Coturnix japonica: one gene and its partners. The protein of the gene in region 3 binds, or shares a complex with, the protein of the main gene of each other region. Links are inferred from orthologs where the notes say so. Each region holds a gene or a part of one and is shown on either strand. Other genes may lie near its edges. The genes, in order: PDE6G, UNC119 and GNAT1.

Evidence for each region.
Region 1: the proteins of GNAT1 (region 3) and PDE6G are in contact, whole or in part, in a cryo-EM structure (PDB 7JSN), measured with the Bos taurus proteins. The link is inferred for Coturnix japonica from reciprocal best matches to the Homo sapiens genes GNAT1 and PDE6G. Residues at the interface, in NP_851365.1 of Bos taurus: Ser140, Arg201, Arg204, Lys205, Trp207, Ile208, Phe211, Asp227, Val229, Glu235, Val236, Asn237, His240, Glu241, His244, Leu245, Ser248, Ile249, Ile281, Phe283, Glu305, Leu306, Met308; in NP_776846.1 of Bos taurus: Arg36, Gln37, Phe38, Lys39, Ser40, Lys41, Pro42, Pro43, Lys45, Leu60, Val66, Ile67, Cys68, Pro69, Trp70, Glu71, Phe73, Asn74, His75, Leu76, Glu77, Leu78.
Region 2: the proteins of GNAT1 (region 3) and UNC119 are in contact, whole or in part, in a crystal structure (PDB 3RBQ), measured with the Homo sapiens proteins. The link is inferred for Coturnix japonica from reciprocal best matches to the Homo sapiens genes GNAT1 and UNC119. Residues at the interface, in NP_000163.2 of Homo sapiens: Gly2, Ala3, Gly4, Ala5, Ser6, Ala7, Glu8; in NP_005139.1 of Homo sapiens: Asp87, Phe88, Val89, Arg90, Phe91, Ile105, Lys106, Lys107, Gly126, Arg127, Phe128, Val129, Tyr131, Phe137, Val147, Glu163, Leu172, Ser218, Tyr220, Asn230.

Annotation. Positions count from the first base shown.
Region 1 is NC_029533.1:5,208,672-5,212,384, reverse strand, and holds PDE6G (retinal rod rhodopsin-sensitive cGMP 3',5'-cyclic phosphodiesterase subunit gamma), read left to right. Parts: upstream 1-1,241; 5' UTR 1,242-1,792; intron 1,793-2,486; 5' UTR 2,487-2,567; coding exon 2,568-2,713; intron 2,714-2,822; coding exon 2,823-3,027; 3' UTR 3,028-3,209; downstream 3,210-3,713. Other genes in the region: OXLD1 (oxidoreductase-like domain-containing protein 1), read left to right, coding at 1-230; TSPAN10 (tetraspanin-10), read right to left, coding at 3,338-3,644.
Region 2 is NC_029534.1:4,518,560-4,522,302, reverse strand, and holds the start of UNC119 (protein unc-119 homolog A), read left to right. Parts: upstream 1-1,437; 5' UTR 1,438-1,493; coding exon 1,494-1,611; intron 1,612-3,743. UniProt on the Homo sapiens protein: Involved in synaptic functions in photoreceptor cells, the signal transduction in immune cells as a Src family kinase activator, endosome recycling, the uptake of bacteria and endocytosis, protein trafficking in sensory neurons and as lipid-binding chaperone with specificity for a diverse subset of myristoylated proteins.
Region 3 is NC_029527.1:2,003,575-2,007,317, reverse strand, and holds the start of GNAT1 (guanine nucleotide-binding protein G(t) subunit alpha-1), read right to left. Parts: upstream 2,681-3,743; 5' UTR 2,343-2,680; coding exon 2,237-2,342; intron 1,759-2,236; coding exon 1,716-1,758; intron 1,367-1,715; coding exon 1,225-1,366; intron 1,153-1,224; coding exon 995-1,152; intron 927-994; coding exon 798-926; intron 724-797; coding exon 594-723; intron 517-593; coding exon 363-516; intron 187-362; coding exon 1-186. UniProt on the Homo sapiens protein: Functions as a signal transducer for the rod photoreceptor RHO. Required for normal RHO-mediated light perception by the retina.

The DNA of each region.
Region 1 (3,713 bases), on a different chromosome or scaffold from region 3:
AGGGGGCTGAGCCCCCCTATCCGCACCCCACTGAGCTCCCCCCACCGCCCACCACCTGCTGCATGAGCGGCTGCCACAACTGCGTCTGGATCGAGTACGTGGAGCAGCTGCTGCAGCACTATGGGGACGGTGGGGAGCGGGCACTGCAGGCCGTGGAGCAGCATGTGCAGGATGAGAACATCAAAGCGATCCTGAAGCTGGAGATCAGGCTGCGCATGAGGACAGAATGAGCCCAAAAAGTGGTGAGGAACTTTCCTGCTGAGCTCCAGGAGTCTCCATGGGACAAGAGGATTGGAACACGGTGTATCTGTGTGGTTTGGGATGTTGGTTTGTGAGATGGGGATTTTAGTTACGGTGTTTGTTTGCATCAGACTGGAGGGATTCACCAAGCACATACACCCCACGTGTTGCCCCAGCACTGACGATGCAGGAGTGGTGTCATCACTCGGTGCTTCTATCCCCAGCACTGAAAATCCCTGCTACGTGCAGGATCCTTCCCACTGCCCCTTGGGTTTGCAGCATGACAGCAGCCTTGTGACAGAGATGGGCTGTGGTGTCACACCGTCCTCCCCACGCTACATTAAGCCTCTTAGGGGCTTCTCTCTGACTGTTGTCCAGAGGGGCAGGGGCTTTTCCCAGCCCCTTTCCGATGCTGTAGGATTTGTTTGGTTCAGGGGAGAGCGTGCAGCCAGAGCACGTGGGCCCTGCAATGTCCCATCAAGGGCAACTCCTCACTGTGCTGCTGCTTCCTCGCTCATCTCTGCTTTAAAACTCCTTAAACTTCACCTTGAGGCGTCACCTCACCAAATCCTGCCCAGCTGAGCACAGCCTCAGCCTGATGACACACACTGTCCCTGCAGAACCTCACCCCATCCTGCCGGGATGAGCTCAGGCAATGCACTGAATGTCACCAAAAGTGGCTTCTGAGTGGTGTTTGCTAATGAAGCTCAGTCTGGAAGTATTAATTAACAACAGGCCTTTGCTGTAGAAGAGGCCAGTTCTGCCAGCTTCGTATGAAACACCTCTGGATCCGTGTAATCCTATTTGCTGAAATCTAACTAATTGCCATTAGTGGAAGGGCCTGGAGTTCAATTAAAGTGTGCTGAGATTATACCTTTTTGTAATTGCTTTAGTGCTGGGATTACGGGAGGCTTTGGAGTGATACTCCCAAGCAGCAGGGCAGGGTGGGAAGGGGCTGCCTGGCCCCACTTCCACCATGTTTTGGGCTGATGAAGCAGAGTCTGCAGTGCTCTCATATTGTCTATACTCAGGTGTCCTCAGTGACGCCTGAGATGAGCTGGTGACCTTCATGTTTAGCAATCCCCATTGGAATAGAGACAGGGATGGTGTGGGGATGCTGTGCTTGGTGTCGGCACTGTTATGGAGTGCTGCCCTGACCATGCTGTGGTCCCATTCCTGTCCCCATGGTGCAATGGCTCAAGTCATAGGGGTGTCCCTCCTAGGGGGGATGTAGGACATCCCCATGGATGCTCTGCAGCTGTTCCCTGCCCAAGACCATGTTCTGTGGGGTGAGACAGCATTGCTAACACGCAGCCCATCCCCGTGGCATTAATCCTGACACCCCCTCCCCATGCACGCACACACTCCCACCCTCCTCCCCACCATTCCTGTGGGGAAGGACACTAGATTACCCATTTGAGAAGAAGGGACTTAATCCTATTATCCCCGAAGAGGATAAATCTGCCAGCCCCCAGCTGCCACACAGAGCACCCAGAGGACGTGTGGAGCAGGCTGGAGGGACTCATTTGGAGCAGCACCGGCCTTGGGCACGGTAAGTGATGGCTTTGGTATGTGAGAGACACCACCCAGACCTGTAGGCACTGGGGCTGCAGTGCATGGCATTGCTCAGCTGGAGCCCACGCTCAGCTCCTGCACTTGCAGGTGAGGCTCCGTGCTGAATGCCACCAAGCTGGCAGTGGGAGCTGCCTGTATTACAAAGCCCCAGTGCTTGGCAGGTTGTAGGGTGCCTGTGGGAGGGATGGAGCCATGTGCTGCCCTGGGACTTCGGGATCAGCTGCAGCCCCTCCAGACTGCAGCACACAGAGCCCTGTGAGCCATCCCTGAGCATCACGCAGCTACAGCTGGAGCAGCTTTCAGCTCACACGGCTGCACTGCCCCCAACTCACAGTGGCACTTACAATGCCCATCTCCACAGGGATGAATTGTGGTGGGGGTACCTGGTGGTGCACATCCACCTGCAGAGGGAGGGAAGGGCTGCAGGTATTGCCCCAAAGAGTGCAGGGGCTCACTGTGCCCCTCTGGATGCCCTTTGCTGCCTTTGGGGTAAGGGGATTAGTGGGGTCTGAGCTGGCCTAATTCTAAGGAGGGGAAGGAGAATGCTCACCCCCAGGGCAGCCCGGAAAGCGGATCAGCCCTGCAGGGCTCATGGCAGGGTGGGAACAAGGGCACTGAGATGGCTGCAGCCACACCAAGGTTCACCCCATTGCTCCATGTCCTTGTGCCAGGTGTGAGGAACCACCCCGTGCCAGTACCAGAACCACAGGGACAGCCGTGCCGCAGGGTGGGCTGTTAGCCCTGCTACAGCCATGAGCTTGGAGCCCCACAAACCAGAGCTCAAATCAGCCACCAGAGTGACCGGGGGACCTGCCACCCCCCGGAAAGGACCACCTAAGTTCAAGCAGAGGCAGACGCGGCAATTCAAGAGCAAGCCACCCAAAAAGGGGGTGCAGGGGTGAGTAGGGCTGAGCACCGGGGCCCAGTGTGGGACACACCTGAAGGCACCCATGTGGTGCTGCTCAAGGCTGATGCATAGCAAGGACAGACACCTGGTTTCTTTGCAGGTTTGGCGATGACATCCCAGGCATGGAGGGGCTAGGAACAGGTATGTGGTCCCCATTCCTTTATGGTGCAGCTGCAGGGCTTGCAGCAGTGCTGAGACTTGTGCTGATGCAGCCTCTGCTCTCCACAGATATCACGGTGATTTGCCCATGGGAAGCTTTCAGCCATCTGGAACTGCACGAGCTGGCCCAGTTTGGCATTATCTAGGCTGGCTACAGCCACCACCACCACCTGCCCTATAGCAGTGCTTTCTTAGAAACTGCCCTATCCATGTAGCAGGGCATAGCCTGGAGAAACAGTCATTAAAACCTGAAATAAACACAGGAGTCTGGTGTTATGGTCTGGGGCTGGAAAGCTACAAGGGTGGGCAACCACACCAGAGAGGACAGGATGGAGAAGAGGTAGAGCAGACCCAAGTAGAGTTCAGAGATTTATTATGGGATGCACATGTACAACAAAGGACGGGAAGGAGAGCACGAGGAACACTCAGCATCCTCTCCATCCCCACAGCACACCCTCAGCCCCGTGCCCCACCAGGCGCAATGTCTGCCAGCACTTTCAGTGCCAGGAGCAGCCCGGTGGCCTCCAGCAGCACCAGCACAGCCGCCCCGATGGCAATGCCTCCAGCCTGCGCACGCAGCCAGGCACCCAGCTGAACCACACAGCCCCCCAGGTGCACCACGCCAGCAGCCTCCATGTCTCCCAGTTGCAGCACCCCAAAGGCACATTGGTCGTTAGCGATGGAGCCGTTCTGCCGTGGATCCAGGCAGCAGGAGGCCGGGACGCTGCACGCCTGCACACCGGGCGCACTGCAGTTGAAATACCTGCAGGACATAGAAGAAGATCTGGGTGCCTGCTGCTTTCTTACTAACCCTCTCCATGCCCCCACGTGC
Region 2 (3,743 bases), on a different chromosome or scaffold from region 3:
CAATGACTCCATGTTGGAGCCCACCAGCTCGGCCCCTCTGTGGACTGTGGGAGATTGAGGGTGACTTTTTGTGCTGACCACCAACCTACAGCACTGTTGTGCACTGTGCATCCTGCTGCAGGCTGGGACCTTCCCATCTGTTCCCAGGTTATTATTTGGGATCTCTCGGGAGGAGCTGCCCCCTGAATTCCTGGTGGAGAGCCCAGGGAATGAAGGAGTGGCCGATTGGGAGCTGGACCGCCTGCTTTGGGCCCATACATTGGAGAATATTGCCACTGTGTCCACCACCTTGACCTCACTGGCGCAGCTGCTGGACCAGATCAGTAACATCGTCATCAAAGACGACGTCGCCTCCGAGGTACGACTGGTACAGCCTGATGTGGGGAGTGGAGGGGTCAGGAGCTGCTGGCCCCATGCAGAGCAGTGGGGCACTGCCCAGGAACGAGGCCCCTTAGCTTTGCTTCTCTGGTGCTTCCTGGTTGAGGACTGACTGCTGTGCTGTTCCCATGCAGGTATACCGAGCGGTGGCTGCAGTGCAGGATGCCGTGGCAGAGCTGGCTGAAGGCCGCCTGCATTCAGCTTTCCAGGCCAGCAAGGAAGCTGTCACCTGCTCGGAGCGGGCGTTCTTTGACCCTTCTCTTCTCCATCTTCTTTACTTCCCGGATGATCAGAAATTTGCCATCTATATCCCTCTTTTCCTGCCCATGGCTGTCCCAATCCTCCTCTCCCTGGGTAAGATGCTCCGAGAAGCCAGGCAGAGCAAGAAGGAGCCCACCAAGATGGACTGAGCCCATATACGGTGCCTTGCCTTGGGGCTGGGACCTCATAGAGTGCATTGCATCACGGTGCAGGCAGGTGCTCACAGAGTCTTGCACCCTCCACTCAGAACTGCTGCTTTACCCCCCTCTTTATTGAGACTTGAGGGGAGGGAGGGTGACCTGCATGCACCCCACAGCCCCGTGCTGTGTTCATGTGTAAATAAAGAGCTGCCCTGCCCAATCCTGCCCTGTTGTGCTGTGGGGGCTGTGTGAATCTCTCCCACTCTCTGGGCTTTGGCCACCTCTTGCTTTGGACTGAGTCCCGTCTTAAAGGTACGTAGCCCATATAGCACCAAGTGGGGGTGGGGAAGGGGGTTGGTGGGGTTCAGCTGTTGGTGGGCAGTTATGAATGGGGTCTGTGAGCGTTGGTTTAGAGACACATTACTGGGGTCGAGCTTTTCCCTTTGGCACATTAACAGGGGAGCTCTCGTATTGGGGGAGCCCTTTTGGGGTCGTACGGGGGAAACAAGCACGTTCATCCCGATGCTGTCGGGATGCGATGAGGGGCTTTGGGAGCGATGCCGGGCGGTGCTGCCGGCGGCGCTGGGCTGTACCGTGCGGGGGGCGGGCCGTGCAGGGGGCGGCGCTGCCCCTCCCGGTGCGGCGGGGCCGGCAGCGCTGAGCGGGGCCGCTCATAGCGGAGGTAGAGGAGGAGGAGGAGGAGGCGGAGGGGCCATGAAGGTGAAGAAGAGCGGCGGGGCCGGGGGGGCGGCAGCGCGGACCGAGGAGGAGCTGGGACGGAAAGCGCTTATCGGGCCCGACGACGTGCTGGGGCTGCAGCGGGTCACCAGCGGTACGGGGCCGGGGGGGGGCACCGCGGTGATGTCGGGTGAGGGATGGGGCGGCAATTTGGGTGGGATGGGACACCCAGCTTGGGGAGGGGGTGCTTCCATTGCGGAGTGGGACCCCCACTGCAAGCCGGGCTGGACGTGGGATGCTGCTCATTGTGCCCGTCCTATGGGTGGGCCAGGCTGAACCCCACAGCTGCGGGGGGAAGAGAGGGATGGAGGGGTTCGGGATGGGGTCACAGATCCAATGGGAGGAGTGTTGTAACCATCCTGCAGCCTTCCCAATAGGTTTCCCCTTTTCCACCCCTATAGTATTGCTGCGGTCTTGAGAGCATCCTGTGGGGCTGGAGGGGCTGTTGTGCTCTGCTGGGATTGCAGCGTGCTGGGCTGGGAGATGGCACATGCTCCAGGCCAACCTGGCTGTGGTAGTGTCCTCCTATCCACCCCCCAAAGAGCCTTTCTATACCCCCGTGTGTGTTGTGTCTCTGCAGGGGAGGAGGGGGCAATGATGGGTGGCTGTGCTTGGAGCAGGAGCGATGCTGCAGGCAGGGCTGTGCCATGAGAAGCCCCAGAAAGAAGGGATGCGGTTGTGGGTATTGGGGGCTGAGCAGCACAGGGATGGGTGAAAGGAAGGAGGGGAGGAAGCCCTGCAGATAGTGCTGGTCTGGGGGGTCTGTTGTGTCTCTGTTTCCCTGCTGAGATGCTGGGCTGTGACTCACTGCCCAGGCCCAGCAATCAGAGCAGCAGGCACTGGAGCGTGCTGCCAGCGCGCTTGGAAGAGCAGCAGTTGGATGGTGAGTCCCAGCGATGGCTGCGCTCAGTGCTTTGCTTCTTGGGAGCCCACGTGGCCCTGCATGCAGCTGTGCCCTCTTTGGGGGGCTGCAGGCACGTGGCCACCCCCTGCCCTTGCTCATGGGGCACGCAGACCTCATGTGGATTCAACTCTGGGCATCCTGGCCTTGTTGCTGCTATTTGCTCTTGTGTGCAGGAAGGCTGAGCTGATCGCCCCATGGGCAGCAGAGCTGCTCTCCTGCCTCTTCTTGCACTCAGGCAGTGTCTTACTCTGCTTCTGCTCAAGCTTACGGTGGAGGTGTGAAGTTGTGATCCAAAGGGACCTGTGTGCCATCCTATCTCTGGTGTATAGGTCCCTGTAGGTTTGTATGGAAGCCCAGATACAACTCCTTCCTCATTCTTTCTCCTCGCAGCTTGGTGTGTACAGCATGCAGCCTTGGTGCCCGTAGTTAGGGCAGTGTCTGGGGTGGAGCCTTTGCCTGGCTGGAATTTGGAGGGAGGATATATGGGGTAGAGGGCATGGGGAATGCAATGCTCCTTGGACCATGAGAAAGATCAGCACGTAATTCCTCCTTTTAACATCAGGAGAATAAGAGGAGCTGGCAAGGACTTTGTGGTATCATGGTCATGTATGGCTTTTATAGGGTGTTACAGTGGTGATATGTGTTGGGATGCACTAAAAGGACCATCAGAGGTTGTTGGATGGAGAGACACGGGGTTAAAACTTCTCCCACTCTTCCACTTTTCCCTTCTTAGTAAAGCTCTCCTCTTAAAACTACTTGAATGAACTCTTCCCATTGCAAACCTTAGTGCCTGTACCACCAAGTCATCCCAACTTATGACCACAGCCCTTTGTATCCCTCTGACCCCTGTTTTGATGCCCAGATCCAGGTGCTCCAGCCCACGTGAAGCTGACACAGGAGCTGATGGTTGGGAATTGCAGCAGTGCCACAAACATCCCTCCCAGTTCCAGATAACTCATTTTTATCCAAACTTCGAGGCCAATACCGCAGCAGCTCTCACTATTGAACCCATTCTACTGCTCATGGCTCTCCTCCTGATGTCTTTTTAATAAGCTTAAAGGGGGAGCGTGCAAGCAGTGCTGCGTATCTGTGCCGTGTCCTTCCAGTGTCACATCCTACATGATGCTAAGGTCAAACCTGATGGACCCAGGGGTGCTGCCCTGGTGCATGTGGGTCTTTTGTAGGGCTGGGTTTAGGTGTAAAGCAAAAGGCCCGTTTCCTTTGCAATTAGCAGGATTTGTTACTTGCTCATCCAACTGTGGTTACAAAAAGAGGAAAACCTTGTGACGCGATTAACTGGGGATTAGCAAAGGGAGCAGGGC
Region 3 (3,743 bases):
AAAGCCCACAATCCTTGAGGTTCTCCTTGATGATGATGTCGGTGACGGCGTCAAAGACGAACTTGACGTTCTCGGTATCAGTGGCGCAGGTCATGTGCCAGTAGATCTCCTTCACGTCCCGCCGCATGTTCAGCTCCAGGAACTGCAGCTTGATGTAGTTGCCAGCATCATCATAGGTGTTGGGACCTACAAGCAGGGCCATGGGTCCCCAGCACCCTGCAACCCTTATATTCCCCTGCCATCACCCCACAGCCCAGACCTTCAGCTGGGTGCTGAGGGTGCTGGGTTCACCTGATGAGTGTCTGGCAAGGGGTGCCAGCACCCAAACCCCCCATGCAGGGTGTGAGCGTGCCTGCCCTCACCGTCATAGTCAGGGAAGCAGATGCTGAGGTGCGCCTTCTTGATCTTCTCCTCGAAGAGGTCCTTCTTGTTGAGGAAGAGGACGATAGAAGTGGTGGCGAAGCACCTGTGGTTGCAGATGCTGTTGAAGAGGTGCAGGCTTTCGTGCATGCGGTTCTGTGGGAGGACACAAGCCCTGTCAGCCCCCTGTCAGCCCCCCAGCCCACCCAGCACCCCTTGGCACGGCCACCTACCACTTCATCATCCTCCACCAGCACCATGTCGTAGGCACTCAGTGCCCCGCAGAAGATGATGCACGTCACCCCCTCAAAGCAGTGGATCCACTTCTTGCGCTCTGATCGCTGCCCCCCGACATCGAACATCCTGCAGGGCAGGACCAGGGGGCTCAGCATCCCCCTAATACCCCTCACCCCAGCACTTGGGGGCTCAGCCCCTACCTGAAGTTGAGGTCCTTGAAAGAGAACTGGGTTTCGATGATGCCGGTGGTTTTGACACGGGAGCGCAGCACGTCCTGCTCAGTGGGGACGTAGCCAGGGGTCACCAGGCGCTCCAGGTCCGACAGGTAGCTGATGGGCACAGTGTGAGGCACGTCCCACCAAGGGTGCCCCCAGCCACCTGCCCACCCTGCACCTACTATCCTGCCGAGTCATTGAGCTGGTACTCAGAGGCCCGGTCAAAGCAGGCCTGGATGCCTGCATCCTTCCAGAGCCGCCCAATGATGTCCGACATCTCCTTGGGCATGGTGCCCTCCTCAATGGTGTCTGAGAGGTGCAGCAGCTTGCGGGCATCATCCTGCAAGGGATGGGGGCTCAGTGGGGATGGGGAAGGGGTACAACTCCACACCCCATGCTGGGAGCCCCTTACCTGGCGGGCTGAGTCGCCATACTGGATGTTGAGCGTGGTCATGGCACGCACGATGGCCAGCATGGACTGCAGCGTGTTGCTGTAGATGATGGCGATGAACTCCAAGCACTCCTCCAGTGAGTAACCATCCTGGTGGATGATCCTGGACAAGATGGGGGCATGGGGCTGAGTGGGGTGCTGAGGGCACCCATGGAGCTGAGCTATAGGGTAGGGGCAATTGTGGGCACTGAACTGGTGCGTAGGGGTACCCATGTGGGTGGATAATAGGGTGGTGGCAGCCATAGGGCTGAACCATAAGGTAGGGGCACCCTTGGGTCTGAACTATAGGATGAGAGAACTCATGGGGGTCAACTAAAGGGTGGGGACACTCATGGGGCTAGAAAATAAGGCAGAGGTGCCCATCGCTGCAGTTGAGGGCGTTGAGGGGTGGATGCTCCCTCTGGCTGTAATATGGGGCAGGTAGGTGGCACGGTGCTGCCTGTGTGACTTACTTCATCTGCTTGACGATGGTACTCTTCCCTGACTCTCCTGCTCCTGTGGGGACAGAGTGGGGGCACAGTGGTGACCACCAAAGGGGGACACAGGGAAACAGGGAGGGAGAGAGCCAGGTCTGGGGGGGGCACTGGGGTGGTGCTGCTGGGGGCTCAGTCAAGGGTGTGCTGGGGGAGCTGGGGGTGGGGGGAAGAAGAGGATGGGGTAGGGATGGGGACACAGCAGTGGGGCATTGCAGGGGAACGTAGCCAGGGCCCGGACATGGGGATGAATGAGAGAACAACTGGGGAAACTGGGGGGCATTGGGAGGGGGACACAGTGCTGGGAGGATGCGAGGGTAGCGTTCAGGGGCATGTGGAGGGGTCTGGGGATGCTGGGGTGGAGTTGGGGTGCTCAGAGGCACGGGGGTATTGGATGGGGTGAGCTTCAGGGGTAATGAGGAGTCTGGGACTAACAGGGTTTGGAGCACGAGGATGTCACGGGGGAGGTTCAGGCATCCCCCGGAGCTGTGCCCACCTACCCAGCAGCAGCAGCTTGACGGTCCTGGCATCCTTCTCAGCGTCCTCCTTCAGCTTCTTCTCCAGCTCACGGGAGTGCTTCTCCTCGGCGCTGGCCCCTGCGCCCATCCTCGCCTCCGCCGCCCGCCGGCTCGCCCGCTCGGTGGAGGTCAGCACCAGGACGGGCAGTGAGCGCCAGCCCCCCGCCGCCTCCAGCGCTCGCCCACCGCCCGACTGCGGCCGCCGCTGCCACCCAAGTGGGCCAAGGACGGGGACAAGGAGCGCGGCTTAAGGCAGAGTGCGGATAAAGCCCCGAAATCTGCCCGGGGCTGAGCTCAGCAATCCCCCGGCTCCCGGCGTCAGCGCTTCTGCGGAGAGGGCGCCCAGCTGTCCCCTCCCAGAGATGGTGGCCCAATGTCCCCAGGCCGTGGCTATGCCCCGTGGCAGGGATGTCCCTGCTGGCCCCAGCCATGGGTATGGCCTTATAGTGGGGATGTTGTACCCACTGCTGTACCCAGATGTACCCGCTGTTCCCAGCCATGGGTATGGCCCCGCTCCAGGGATGTCCCTGCTGTTGTTCTCAGGCCGTGGGTATGGCCCTGTGAACCATCCCAGTCGTACTCTCAAGAATCCCTGCCTGATGTCATTGTACCCCTAGTGTCATCCCCACCCCCACGTCCTGAGCCCTTTCCAAGACCCTCATAATGTCCCCAGCTCCTCTCAGTGCCCTTTGCCCCAGCCCCCAGGTATCCTTATGCCTCACCACACAACACCAAGGACACCCCACGTCCCGCCCCCTGCCAGTGTGTCCCCATTGCCAGCGAAGTACCCCCGTGTTCCGAGGAACAGCCCTCTGTGTCCCAGCCCCGTCCCCACCAGTGCAGCCCCCTGTCCCCCAGCCCCAGCATCTTACACCTCCCCAGTGTCCCCCCAACCCTCCTCCGCGGGGCTCCTGCAGTTCCGAGTCTGACCGCCAGAGGGCAGAGCGACCCAGCATAGAGCAGCACAGCCCAGTACAGCCCAGTACAACCCAGTACAGCCCAGTACAGCCCAGTACAGCCCGTCAGAACCCAGTACAGCCCGTAGCTACGCCCGTCACAAGACCCAGTACGCCCAGTACATGCCCGCGCCACAGGGGCCAGTACAGCTGGGGGTTTTCATTTACAGCCAGTTACAAACCAGTACAGCCCAGCACAGCCCAGTACAGCCCAGTACAGCCCAGCACAGCCTGGTACAGTCCAGCAGAGACAAGCACAGACTTGTACCACCCCCCCTTCCCCACCAGGGCTACCAGTGCTGCCTCCGGTACCCCAAGTGCTGCCCTAGTCTGGCCAAGAGCCGCCCATGCCTGACCCCAGTGCCCCCAGCAGTGACTGCAGTGTCCCCAGTGGTAACTCAGAGTTCCCCCATAGTGCCCCCAGTGGCCTCCAGCTTCATGTCCCCCTGCCCAGCGTCCCCTCCATCACCCTGCAGCGTTCCCAGCACCCCACCATGTGCTCCCCTGGATCCCACCCCCAGAACTCGGTGATG